Linked DNA regions of Pelodiscus sinensis. Each later gene encodes a partner of the first gene's protein in a complex. Links are inferred from orthologs where the notes say so. Each region holds a gene or a part of one and is shown on either strand. Other genes may lie near its edges.

Region 1 (7,144 bases):
AAAACTGCATCCCCAATGCAATACTACAGCATCAAGGAACACCCTGGCTACATCTAGACTGGCATGATTTTCCACAAATGCTTTTAACGGAAAAGATTTCCGTTAAAAGCATTTGCGGAAAAGAGTGTCTAGATTGGCACGGACACTTTTCCGCAAAAGCACTGATTTGCGCAAGAGGGCTTTTGCCCGAACGGGAGCAGCATAGTATTTCTGCAAGAAGCACTGATTTCAGACAGTGGAAGTCAGTGTTCTTGCGGAAATTCAAGTGGCCAGTGTAGACAGCTGGCAAGTTTTTCCGCAAAAGCAGCTGATTTTGCAGAAAAACTTGCCAGTCTAGACATAACCCCTGTGTTGGGACATCACTGCATGTCTTCCATTGTATTCCAGAACTGAGGAATCTCCAGCACTGACTGAAGGGATTGCTCAGTCCCAACATCCATTCAGCTCCCACATCTGCAATCTGCTCGGGATTGGTGTCTGCTCAGTCTCTAGGTCTGTATCTGAACCTGAATCTGGTTAGTGTCTGCATCTGTATCTGCTCAACATCTGCTCTGCACTTGCTCCACATCTGTTTTTCAGTATCTCCTTGGTGTGTGTGTGTCCCATTGAGATCTCCTCTGCATCTACTTTGGTGTCTGCTCTGCACCTGCTCAGCATCTATGTGATCCTCTGCTCATTATCTGTCCCCTCAGTATCTGTTTCTCCTGAGCGTCTCTCCAGTATCTGCTCAGCATCTGAGTCTCCTCTGCATTTATGCAGTGTCTTATCATTGTGTGTGTCTCCTTAGTATCTGAGTTTCCTCAGCATCTCCTCTGTCTTCCCTTAGTGGCTGTACCTCTCCACATCTCCATGTCTGCCTTCCTCTGTACATGTATCTTTGTCTTCTCTGCATCTGACTACATTCTGCAGAGTAAATGAGCCAAATCCATTCCTACTGCAACCACTGAAGCCAGCAGAGTTTTGCCACAGATTAATATGGCCCAGCACTGGGACTATGTTTTCCGCATGCAGACACGCTTTTATTTCTGCTACTAATCCTTTAGGGTGAATTCAGCCTACAAGCCCCAAACTCTTTCCTCCTCATCGCCTCCGCTCACCATCTTTTTTCTTTCTTCTCTCTCCTCCAGTCGGGTGTATGTGTCTCCTCCCTTCCCATCTTCTTCAGGATATCAGGGCTTCAAACATTGGCTGGGCTTGCTATTCCTTGGCTAGAGTCTAGGCTGATGTTATTCCAAGACACTGAAAGCCCATCCCTTGCCTGCCGCTTGCCAATGCTCAAACTCCTCCACCTGCTGGAGGCTGCTCTCCAGCCAGCACTTGGCCATTTAAAAAAAATTGTTTTTAAAATTCATCTTTAGGTTTTTTTCAGACCCCTCCCACTCACACTGCTTATCTCCAGGCTCCCCTATACACTCTACATACCACCCCCACACCTATGGCTCTCTAGTGTTGTCTTCACTCTATTCCCCCAACATACACACTTGCTGCCCCAATAAACAATAATTTCAGCGTCCATGAGGACACCTTATGGTATGAAGGCAGCATGAGGCTATTCCCAGACTCTGGGGTTCTCGTCTGTGCAGTCTCTCAGCATTTGCCAGATTTCTTTCATTCCTACTGTGCTTTGAAAATCTTTGTTGTAATCATGTGATTCACATACACTGAACATATATGTTCAAAGGCATGCAAAAGCACATATACATCTCACAACTTCCCTATATGAGCAAATACACATGCCAAGAAACACTGCACACTGAAACGCATGGACTCTTCCCAACCATGTACAAACCTCCATGAAGATATGAAAACATATTACTCCCACTCAGCTATACCCCAAGACACAGAAACAAATGTCTCATATGTCACTCCAGCCTCACATAGGGCTGAAACACACGTAGTCTTATCTCACTGGTAAAAAATGTAGATACATAAACAGACGCACTGGCACTCACACATGTGCACACACATACTTGGACAAACATGTGCGCACACATTCACATATAAAATACATGCACATGTGCGCAGACACAGACAGACAATGCATAATATAGAATGTGCACATGCAAAAATAGACCTGTGTGTACACATTCACTTTTGTACAGAAAGCTACACAACTAGCTGTACATACACACCCACACATAAGCATTGTCAGGCACACACTTTACAGCAATGTGGCCTAGATCAATCACCTAAAAAAAGACAACAAAAGAGTTGCTATTTTTTTTCTTTGCTAGAAGTGGATGGGAAAGCAGACGTGTCCACAGTTACTAGACACCTGCCTCAGAATGGCTATCAGAATCTGTGAATGCTCCTGCCAGGAAACTTCATCCCTTCCAGAGGGAAGTGCAAAGTATTCCTCCTGCATTCCCCCTCCCCTGTCCCAGTAGAAGGCACTGCTGTCCCTTCCTTCTTGCTCCCCACCCTAGGCAGCCTTGCCTCTGGGCTTCATGCACTATGCACCTCCTGCTCAGTTTTGGGTCCCTCCCAGGATGACGCCCTGAAAGCCATGCACAGGAGCAGAGGATGATGGGGAACTTACTGTGCTCGGGAAGACCCTGGATCAGATCAAATTTGTGGATTTCCTTGGCGTAATATTCGGACTCGGTGCTGTCCTGAAAGCAGCTCTCCTCCTTCTCCTCCTCCATCTCCTCCAGCAGCTCCCGGGTGCTGTTATACAGGGCCAGAATCTGGTAGGGCACATGAGTTGGTCCTACCGTCTCGGGGGGGCTCGTGAGCCTCAACTTACTCAGAATCTGCCCCCTGATGGCCTCCACCCTCTTCTTCTTGATGTGGTCGAGTTCTAGGGTGGTGCAAGAGGAGAGCGAGAGACTGACGGTGGCAAAGCTCAGCAGGCACAGGACCACCAGCGCCCGTTGCAAGTGCATCTTCATGTGCGAGAGTAAAGAGGGAGCCACAACGAGGGGACACCCCAGAGGAAGCGCAAGTGGGCTAAGGAGACTAGGCAGGGCTTTCGGTACAGCCTCCCCAGATCCTGCAGACTGAGGCTTGGCACGAAGGTGCATGAACTCACTGTGCAGTGAGCGATTCAGGACTTCCAGGAAGCGCTGGCAACACTTAGGAAGGAGAAACAGGCTCTGTGCCGCGGCGAGCCGGGATCTTTCTCCATGTGTCCAAGCAGGACCCGCTGAGCCAGGGCTCCAGACAGACCAGGGCAGGGGAGGGCGCCTCCGCACGAAGCCAGGAACAACCGCAGAGAGGCTGGAGCTCGACTGTGCCGCGGGGCAGTCTCGCAGCTCCAGAGGCAGGTCCCCTGGAGCAGCGACCTCCTGCGCCCGTGTCAGGCAGCCCCCCGGGGACGGGCAGGCGCAGGCTCCGCACACTTGTTGCGGGCATGCACTATCCACGCGCGCCCCTTAGTTCACAGCCCCTCGCGGGGCAGGACGGGGTTTGTCATTCGCGGCCGCTTGGCTCCATTGGCGCTGCGAGGAATTAAGCGACGGCCGCGCTGCACATCCCTCCGGCGTCTCCGCGGGGTCCAGGTAGGAGCCTGGGGTAGCTCAGCGCTGCCCCTCGCCTCGCTTTGCGGGCGGTATCCCCACGCGCAGCCGGAGCCCCGTGCGCGCCTGTCCTTTTCGCTCGCCCTCTCTGGCCCCCGGCCCCCTCGCTCCCTCACACACTGACTCTCTATTCCGCTCGGCTGAAATTTTATACCTCCCTCCCATGACGTCTGCGGGCCTGCAGGAGGGTGGGGGAGGGACCTGCCGGCCCAGCGTTCACATTCAACCCGGGTTTAATGCGTTGCACAGGCGCGAGGGGAGGGGGGCAAATCCCAGGCTCGGCCTCTCGCCCGGCTGTCTGGCTCGGGCCGGTGTCCCACCTCCCTAGGGGGGAGGGTCGGTGCTTTGCCCCCAGTCTCCCCTCTGCACCGTCCCGCTCGCGCCCCTTCTCCTGCCACTTCCCACTTTTTGCTCCCCAGCCCTGGTTTGACCGCGTTCTTCCCCGCCGCCCCGCTGAGCAGCGCCTCCCTCCCCCTGGGCCCCGCCCGCGGGGTGATCCTGGGGGACGAAGCCCACTGCCGGGCTGGCGGGTTCCGAAATGGGACGTGGGCACGTGCCTGGGCCCGCAACAAGACCCTGCTGCACCGCGTTCGGGGCCGGGGGGAGACTCAGCGCACGGGCCCCGCGCGGCTTTAATCGTGGTCCGGGGCAGCTCTGCGGGCCGGCTCGGAACGCGCTCCCGGGGCCGGGAAGTCAGGGTGGGGCTTTCGGGAAAGCCAATGGCGCTCTCTGGCGGGGAGCACAGGCCGGTGGCGCGGCTCCTAGGCAGCCGCTCACCCCCGCCGTTCCCAGCCTGAGCTCCTTGCAGCCCTCGCTGGTGGTCCGCAGAGAGCTGGCGGGTGACTTGAGGCTGGCGCCTCCGCTGATTTCCAGCTGCTAAATTGCATTAAAAGAAGCTAAAAATACATGACATACTTTGCTGATGTGATTTTTCCATGTGAGCAATTGCTGGAGCTGCTGGAGCGATGGGATACAGCAGGGAAGGGGAAGGGATATGAGGGACCGGGGTGGTGGAGGTGAGGGATGGCATGGCTGGGCAGGTAATGGCAAATAGGATTGGGGCAAGGGATTCAAGAGCCAGCAACAGAGTCTGGGAGAGGGGGAGCTAGAAAGTGGATCCAAGCAGTGGATAGGATGTGGAAAGGGGGGCAATTTTTATGGGTGGGCTGGATAAAGCCTTACTTAGATTCAGAAGGCATGGACAAGTAGGGGAACTAAGTATTCTACATGCCCATATGGCCCCCCTCACCATAGTGTGTCAGCACCCCACAATCTTTCATGTATTATCCTGTGAAGTTGGGAAGTACCACTATCACTGTTTTGGAAGGGGAACTGAAGCACAGAGAGTCTTTGGGTATGTCTACACTGCAAAAAATCCCCACAACAGCGAATCTCAGGACCCTGGTCAACTGACTTAGGTTTGCTATGGGACTAAAATAATGTCAGGACATTTCCACCAGAGGAGGAGCCCTGGCTCTGAGACCCTCCACCTTTGTTCAGGTTTCAAGAGCCCATGCTCCAGGGCAAACAGCAATCTCTGTACTGCTATTTTTAGCCCCTTAGCACCAATCCCATGACCCAAATCAGTTGGTTTGGGCTCTGTGAGACCTGTTGCTTCAGGGTTTGGGATTTTTTGAAAAGTGTAGACATACCCTATATGACTTGTCCAAAATCACACAGGAAGTTTGTGGCACAGCAGGGCATTTACCTGTCTCCCAAATCCTAGGCTAGCAACCTGCCCACAGAATTATTCTTCTCTGTGCTTAGCTCTTTTATAGCTTTTCATCCCAAGATCTCAAAGTCTTTTTACATAGCAGGTCAGTGCCATTAAAAGTAATTCTTGAAGACTCGGCCTACCCCTTCCTACCTGTGGCTCATGAAGCCAGACACAGGCAGCCTGGATCACAGCAAGGAGCAGTTCAACAACAGGCTGAGAAAGTGCAGAATGGTGCTAGAATATGCTTTTGGACTTTTAAAGGGAAGGTTTTGAAGTTTTTTACTAGGTTAGATCTCAGCAAAAGCAACATTCCCATTGTTATAGCAGCCTGCTGTGTGCTCCATAATACCTGTGAAAGTAAGGAGGAAAGCTTTATGCAGGGTGGGGGCCTGAGGGGCCTGACACTAGGGAAATAAGGAGCATGCATTGTGTATCGGAGAAGCTTTGAAAAACAGCTTTGTGAATGGCCAGACAATGATATGACAGTCATGTGCATTGCTCTTAAGTGTGCTTGCCTGTAAATCCTGTAACCTCTCTTCCAGGCAACAAAAGCAATAAAGATACTGTTGTTGAGACATAATGTGTTTTTATTTAGTGAACACAAGGAAGAAGGGACAGAAACGGAGTTCAGGGCAGGAGCTTGGGCACGGTGTGTGAGACATGGGAAAGCAGCATATTACAAACCCCCTTGGTGGTATAGATTCAGTGTTTAGAAAATCTACTTAATGTAGTTAAGTTCAACCTAAACTTCTAGGCTACGTCTACACTAACCACCCACTCTTGTGCAAGAAGATTTACAGTACGGCATGGTAAGAGAGGGCTTCTTGCGCAAGAGCTACGCTCTTTTTTTACAAGTGTAAGCCTTCTTGCACAACAGCGCTTGTGCAAGAGGGCAGTATGGATGCACGGCAGGGGTTTCTTGTGCAAGAAAGCCCTATAGCCAAAATGGCCATCAGAGCTTCCTTGCGCAAGAGAGTGTCCACACTGCCATGGATGCTCTTGCGCAAAAGCACATCTCACACATGGCAGTGTGGACATGTTCTTGCACAATACTTCTTGCACAAGAACCTACCAGTGTAGACATAGCCCTAGTGTAGACCAGGCCTAAGGTTAAAGGAATGGTGAAGCAGTATTGGGCTAAAAGGGCCCTACCCCTGAACAGCTCTCGGAGATGCTCCATATGGCGGACTTACTTAAAGAGAGCTCTGACAGTCAAGTGAGGATGACAGAAAGTGACAGACTGCCCGCAAGAAGACAAATAGGCTGTATGTGCTGAGGCAGAATCAGCCACTGGGGGAAGAGCCAGCCTTGTAAGGCTTGGCTGGTAGACTGCACCTTAACCCCCCACATCTCTTCCTGATTGGGGGAGCAACTGGTCTCTGACAATAACAGTAACGTTATTTCGGAATAACATCTCAGAAGAGTGCATCTACACTGCAAGACATTATTTTGAAATAATGTCGAGCTGGAGGACTTCTTACTCTGACTCATGGTAATCCCCATTTCACAAGGAGTAAGGGAAGTCAAAGGGAGAGTGTTCTTCCTTCAACTTCCTACTGTGTAGACAGCACCAAGAGCTGAATTAAGCTATTTTGACTTCAGCTATGCAATTGACTTAGCTGAAGTTGCGTAACTTAATGTGAGTTTTGCCCTGCTGTGTAGATGTACCCAGAGAGAGAGAGAGATGGGAAATCTCCAGATGAGATTCTAATTACTGAGCTTTACAAACTTAAGTTGCAGCTGCAAGACACAGCTTAGTTTTAAGTAGGAAAATGAGACTTGTGATCTACACGCTGGAACCAGACAACTCAAGCATTTACTTTAGTCAGAAAGGCAAGCTAAAATTCAATTTGCTAGTCAAGACAGAACAGGCTTTGTAGCAGAATAAACTATAATGTGAGTATCTGCT
Region 2 (7,198 bases), on another chromosome or scaffold:
CCTTCATAAGCTCTGAAGCTATGTTTACATTGTGGTTTCTTGCACAAGAACATATGCAAATGAGGCATGGTGATGAATATTGCCGTGCCTCATTTGCATACTTAATGAGCCTCCATTTTTGTGCAAGGGGCTTTTTCTTAAGAAGGAACAATCTACACTGCTCCTTCTTGTGCAAAAATCCCCTCTTGTGCAAGAGCTGTTCTGCCTGAAAATAAGTGGCAGAACGGCTCTTGCGCAAGAGGGGGGGTTTGCGCAAGAAGGAGCAGAGTAGACAGCGCCTTCTTGCGCAAAAGCCCCTTGTGCAAAAATGGCAGCTCATTAAGTATGCAAATGAGGTGCGGCAATATTCATTGCCATGCCTCATTTGCATATGTTCTTGAGCAAGAAACCACAATGTAGACATAAAACTAATTTGCATATGGTCTTGCGCAAGAAAGTGCAATGTAGACATAGCCTGAGTGTTTCAGTGCACAGAGAAGGCTTGAGGAGGATGTACTGAAAATTAAAATCAGGCAAGTGGTGCGTGGTTTCTGTTTGTGCTTCAGACATCTATCACTGCTCTTCTCAGCAAACATACCTCAACAAACCATTCTCTAGTGCATAGGTTCCAAACTGGGGGGTGTGAAGAAATTCCAGGGGGGATGTTAGGCAACCCAGCCCACCTTTTCCCCATCTATCCTCTCCCCAAGAAAGAGCCCGGTCCATCCGGTAAAAAAATTCAGAAAACGAATGGATGGAGCATTCCGGGCAGACTTCAAAATGACTGCCTTCAAAGGGCAATGCCTGCTCTGCTCTTAAAAGGGCAATCTTTTTCCTTTTTTGGGTCAACGACTCCCCCCTCCCCGGCCTTTTTTTTCTTTTTTAACACTGATCCTGGGAATTAAAGGGCCGTGACTGGTTTCCTCTCCCCCGTCCCTTTTCCCTCAAGTTTTGCTGCTATTTTTTGGCTGGGGCGGGGGAAGTTTGAGGGTTTCTCAAAAATCAAAAAGGGGGCGTGATGCCGAAAGGTTTGGGAGCCACTATTCTAGTGGCTATCAAAATAAGCTCTGGCATTCCTCTCCAGATTGCTAATGAGGGGGAAATGTTTTGTCTTGGCATATTGTATAGGATTAAAACGAGGCAGCTTGAACCAATGAGCTACAGGCTGCACAGGCTATTTGGTGTTCAAATCCTGAAGTCCTTATACAGGCCAAACTCCCATGGGACCAATGGAATTTGCCCTGTGTAAAGATTTTAGAATTTAACCCATAAACGTTAAAGAGATATGTGTATGGCTGTGTACACTATGGAATGCCTGATCGTAAAATACACAGTATGAGGAAAGCTGGAGACAAGAACAGCAGACTTTTTACACCCACATAGTCCTATTCTTGGACCTGGGATATCAAAACCATCCTGCATATTTCTGCTAAGCTTTCCATCTTGCTTGCAAGCAATTAAGTGAATCTATTATGGTCTTGTTCAAGTCATGGGGCACTGACAGAGAGCAACCTGAACAAACCAGTCAGTATATGCGCCCTCTTGAAGAGCAAATATAAAATATTGTAAAGCCTAAAATTGAAAATGTGTTGCATGTACCTCTGAACTTAGGCTGTTTAGTGCAAAGTAAATTTTATATTGATTCATCTGTGTAAGTCAGTGCACAATTCGAATTTTGGGAATATGAGCAGCTTTTTGTTATATCGATATCTAAGCTAATTGCACAAAATCACAGATGCTGCTTAAGAAAATTATATTTACAGTAACATTAAGAGTATGATATAAAAGGGAAAAGGTTCTCACTTATTTTTAATTCATCCTCATGTGGCCACAAACATATTTACTTAGCATAAAGTGTCATTGGAAGTGTATATGGCTGTGCAGACAAAAATACAATGAAAGTATTACAAACAGTGGGGCCGACAGACTCGCTGGGCCCCTGGGTAAGGTGAGGGGTTTTGGCTCCATGCCCCTGGAAGGGGCAGGGCCTCAAGCAGAAGAGGTGGGGCTAGAGCTTGCTTCCTCCAGACAGCCCTCAGCACTGGACCCTGGGGCAGTTGCTCCCTTGCCCCGCTCCACCCCACCCTTATTGGCAGGCCTGATTATAAGTCACAGCACCATATTCACTGGATCGCAGATATTTCCCAATATCAAAAAGCCACCAGGCACATGGAGTAAGTTAAGACTGAGATGTAGAAGCCTCACTTTTCTGTTTATGAACAAGGTTAAGCGTTTGATTCTGAATTAGATAGCTAAATACAGATACATAAGGTTTGATTCTGCCATGCAGTTGATGTTATCTTTACTTGAGTGCGGGAGCTGCCCTCAGAGGCCTATGCTGTATTTTGTTGAAGTTAATAGGGGAGAATCTGTGCAGTTGCAGGATTTAGCCCTTTGTTGCTTTAAGGAGTTTTTTGGGGGAACCTTACCAGTGATTCAAAACCCCCAGTTTAAGAATACCTGTTAATACCCCTCGGATGCCTGTTAAATGCGTTACTGTCTGGTTTTCTGCAAGCCTAGCAGAATCTTTTTTTTTTTCTATTTGATCTTTCAGACCCAAAACATAGCAGTTCTCATTCTTATTCCTTTACTATCTCAATGAAAAGAGCTATTCAGGATATACTTGGCTTATGGGACACAGCAATTTTACGGGTTAGGGTGCACTGAATCCATACCTGACTTACTGCTGGGTGGGTAGAAAGTACACATGCAAATGCTAATTTAACAGTGCAGCATTTGTTCTTTGTATAGTTTCAGCTCCAAATGTTTGGAGAGGATCTGCATTTTTTAAATTTATTATTATTACTATCCTGTTACAGAAATAATGGCATGCGCCACAATTCAGGCCTGGATGTTTTGTTTCAGCTTATCTCTGGTCATTTGTGGTCCTTTCTACATGTCCTCTAATATTTTTGTACAATTAATTTTACTCTTACATAGGCACAATAACGGCTCCATGTACTTTGTAGCACATTGGATCTAGATCATGCCACCTGATTTATGAAACAGGCCCTCTCTCCTCAAAGTGTCTCATTAAAGTGGCAGATTTTCAGTTCTAAAAGTGACATGTTGATTACTTAAATTTCTGTTTAGGTTAAAGTCCATATGGTCCATAAAATCTACTGTGTAAACTCCCTTTAAATCAATGTTTAAGTATTGTAAAGTTCACACTATGGTCAAATTCTAATCCCATTCAAGTCATTGGCAGACTTGCCCTTAAGTTCAAAGGGAACGTGTTGCATGTTGTTTGATAAATAAAATGATATACTATATGGAGCCCATAGAATTGTAGACATATAGTACAGATTATATCCATCATGAGTAAGGGTTCTGCATGCTAAATTTTTAAAACTGTTGTTGTTTAAAATGCACATAGAGCAGCATGGTGAGGTGGTGATTACAGAGTAGCAGCCTGAAATATTTATAACATTTTCCTTCTATTTAGATATAATACCTACATTTTGTAGAAACATCATACAAGTATCAGACTACCTATCCACTGAACTGATAAGTCATTAAGGCCTATATTTTTTAAAGTGGCCACTATATTTTTGGTGCCTCAGTTTTTGAATATCTAGCTTGATTAATCTAGAACCTAATTTTCAGATAGGCTAAGCAACCACCACTCCAGCTCACATATAATGCCCATGATGTCTCAAGCGATGCATGTACAATTAATGGACACTTGAAATTTTTGTCCTAAATGGTCATAATTTGGCTGAAAGCCTGGATCACTATGGAAATAGCTGGAAAAAAGAGGGCCACTTCTGTATGACCAGACTGCTCTTCATTCACCACCAAGAAGAGATCAGATCTTAGTCAAGATGGGAGTCACTGTATTATATGATTAATTCCCATTTCCATTGTTTCTCCTAACTAAGAAAGAGTCTCTTAGGCCATAGGGGCCTTTAGTCACCGTGGTTAGTGAAAGACATTTATTTATCAGAAACTGATGTATAGTCATCCAACAGGAATATTATAAATGCATTTGTATACCATCAAAGCAGCCTCTCTTGACTTGTTCACAAAACAGGCGTCAGGATCTCCATATCTAATTGTTAAATTGTACCAATGCTGTATTTTAGTGCCACAAAATATGTAAATCCCCGGCATGCCTCTGTTGTGGCCACCCCAGCATTCTTTGTTTATGCTATGTTTGAATGTATTCTAGCACATAAGATTTATCTTCCTGCTTACTCTTAGTACAGTTCCAATATAAGTAATACATTGGCATAGCTTTGCCATTTGTCAGCCAGCAGTCTGGTAACACATTTGCTCGTCAATCTAATTTTAACCTTTTCTCACACAAGCACTTGGTATTTCATGTAAATCAACCAGACATTCTGTTTTTTACTAGGGCTGTATCTTCATAGTCTTCTAAAACCATGTGCTTCACCCAAAATATTCATTTTAACTTGTGGAAGGATAATTAAAGCTTATGAGGTACTTAAGGACTGTTAATACCGGAACACTTGGAATCTGTTTATTACCACAGCAAAGATAATTATGTCTAGCGAAGATTTTTGAAAATGAGTATGATAACATCTTTCATCATTTTCTGAAATTAAAGGCCTGTCCTGAAAGGTAAGTGATATAATGCATGGCTAAAAAAATCTTACAATAATGCCTGGCTGAAAAAACTTGCTACATAAGTTCTAGATCTGTATTCTTGTTGTTTTAATCTTCATCTGGGCATAGAAGAAATATACATCTATGATGAATTCATAAATATATTTATAAGTAATCACATTTTGGCTCAGTTCACACAACAGATTTTTTAAAGATAATGCTGATTGCTAAAGAGGATGTGTTTCATTCTAAAATACATTGAAAAGTAGACATATTTGTGAGTGTGTCTTCAGTATCTCTTGATATTGGGTAGCAGCTTGTGTAGTTAACATTTAAGGATCTTCTAGCATTTCCTTTACTTTATCACTTTTTCTGGGGGTTATTTGGCTGAGTGTTCACTCTTTCTTCATATAGCAGTTTTAGATGTTTTGTAAGTGTCACTATGACCCAAGTCTTTATTTCTTTTGTATTAAAACTGGAATGGTGAAGGTAATTAGTCACAGGTGGTAGTTTCAAACATTCTGCTGCATTAAGAGGTCTAAAATATATAAATATGATTATAAACATGTATTAGAATAATCTGTAAAGTCTGCCAAGAATCCAGTCCCACATAATACATCCAATTTATAATTCTATACAACTTCCATGCACTCTTCAACTGTTAATTATTAATAATCATGCAAAAATAGCTGTTTTTAGTGATCTGATCAAATGATGCTAAAATCCTATTAATGAAAAAAATGATATATTAACACAGTGACTGAACACTTCACCCAGGTTTAAAACAGAGAAGATAAAGCTATGCTTAACTGCTATAATTTATTTTTAATAATCATTCATAGCATTATAGCTATTACTGCACACAGCCCATGGAATCCCATTGGGAAAGACCCATGAAGGCCACAGGCAAGACATTAAATTGCCCATTTTCACTAGTTCAGAAAACCCTCTACTCCTACACTGAAATGGAAGGAGACAATCCCATCATTCTTTCAGCCCATCCCCACTGCTCCCACACTCTTTTTCTCAACATAATTGTTGAAGTTTCCACTAAATGATCCTTTGTAATGAGCAAAGGGTGTAGACCAAATCTTGACCTCCCACAATCTGCATGGATTTATTTGTGTTGATTGCCAAGTTCTTTGGGATGCGGGCTGTCTTACTAAGTGTTGCACAATTCAGCTCTGATTCTGACTGAAGACTGTAGTCACTACTGGCAAGAGAAATAATAATTAAATTGGTTCTAGCACATTTAAGGCTTTCCCCAGAGGGATTGGCAGAACTTGCCCATCACATAAAAAAATACTCAGACAACAGTGTGGTTCTAATGGTCAGGACACTGGAGCAGGACTTGGGGTTAGCCACTGTGGGCAAGTCACTTCCCCTATAGTGCCTGAAAGGCAATAATGATATGAGAATCATGGGGCTGGAAGAGACCTTTAGAAGGTCATCGAATCCAACCCCCTGCTAAAAGCAGGATCAGTCTCACCTACATCATCCCAGCCAGGGCTTTATCAAGCTGGGACTTCAAAATCTCTAGGATGGAGATTCCACCACCTCCCTAGGTAACCCATTCCAGTACTTCACTACCCTCCTAGTGAAATATCCAACCTAGACCTCCCCCATTGCAATTTGAGACCATTGTTCCTTATTTTGTTATCTGTCAGCACTGAGAACAGCTTCTCTCCATCCTCTTTGGAACCCCTTTCAGGTAGTTGAAGGCTGCTATGAAATCTAAGGTTGTTATGGGCAGGTAATTAGGTTATCATGTAGTTGATACAATTTGTATCGACTACACAATTAACCGAAAAGGACAGCACTACCCCCGCTGCAGCTCTGCAGTTTAAATGTAGTAAGAGCCGGGCGCCAGTCCTACTCTAGGGAAGTCAGTGGCAAAACTCTTGATGATTCCAATACAAGTAAGTTATGTGTCCTTAGTGTCCACTGCCTCAATTAGTCTTTGTATTCTTCCAAATATTTTCCGTATCAATCTTTGAAGCTGTCTTGCTTCATTGGGTGAATGGGGGAGTCACATATTCAATGTTTCTTTCAACAAGAGAGTTTTGGTAGTAGTAAAGGCTAATAATTTCTCATTTGTGGGAATCAGTAGAAAGTAGGTGAAAAAAGGCCTGCAACACCTGACTATAACCATGAGCTGTGTGCGGTAAGGCCCAATTGAAAATAATTGGAGATGAGCATTATGACAGAATGCTGGAAAACAGAAACTGATACAGCACTCTGATCACTGCCACTACAAGTAGTTGCTCTAGAATAGCCCTGATTAAGACCTGTGCCTAATTGGTAGCTTGGGATAGGCTAAGAAGAGCCCAAAAGACTAATAAGCCCATTATCTAAGGAGTAGAACAGGGATACACAGGAAGTACTCAGGGTTAGAGAGAGATTGCAGGTGTGCCTGAGCATTCTGAGTGAAGATACCTTCTGTGCTTCCTCATTGACTGAGCGAGCTAAGGGTTGTATGATATTGCAACTATGGAGCTGGATGAGTTTGTATGGTAGTGGGGAGAACAAAGTGAGGTAAACCATGAGCTATCTGACCAGAAGATCTCTGAGAGGTTTGTTGATTAAAAAAAGAAAGGAGAAGGACCTTGCCCTGTCACAAGGATATTCTGCTCTTCTCAGGGTGGATTCA

Evidence for each region. The genes of interacting proteins can lie anywhere in the genome.
Region 2: the proteins of TGFB3 (region 1) and ITGB6 are in contact, whole or in part, in a crystal structure (PDB 4UM9), measured with the Homo sapiens proteins. The link is inferred for Pelodiscus sinensis from reciprocal best matches to the Homo sapiens genes TGFB3 and ITGB6. Residues at the interface, in NP_001316868.1 of Homo sapiens: His259, Gly262, Asp263, Leu264, Arg266, Leu267, Lys268; in NP_000879.2 of Homo sapiens: Ser142, Ala143, Ser144, Asp147, Pro196, Cys197, Ser199, Ile200, Tyr202, Cys204, Ala234, Asn235, Ile236, Asp237, Thr238, Glu240, Asp271, Lys355.

The regions. Positions count from the first base shown.
Region 1 is NC_134714.1:43,367,000-43,374,143, reverse strand, and holds the start of TGFB3 (transforming growth factor beta-3 proprotein), read right to left. Parts: upstream 3,024-7,144; coding exon 2,540-3,023; intron 1-2,539. UniProt on the Homo sapiens protein: Transforming growth factor beta-3 proprotein: Precursor of the Latency-associated peptide (LAP) and Transforming growth factor beta-3 (TGF-beta-3) chains, which constitute the regulatory and active subunit of TGF-beta-3, respectively.
Region 2 is NC_134717.1:33,576,352-33,583,549, reverse strand, and holds the start of ITGB6 (integrin beta-6), read left to right. Parts: upstream 1-4,107; 5' UTR 4,108-4,563; intron 4,564-7,198. UniProt on the Homo sapiens protein: Integrin alpha-V:beta-6 (ITGAV:ITGB6) is a receptor for fibronectin and cytotactin. It recognizes the sequence R-G-D in its ligands. Internalization of integrin alpha-V/beta-6 via clathrin-mediated endocytosis promotes carcinoma cell invasion.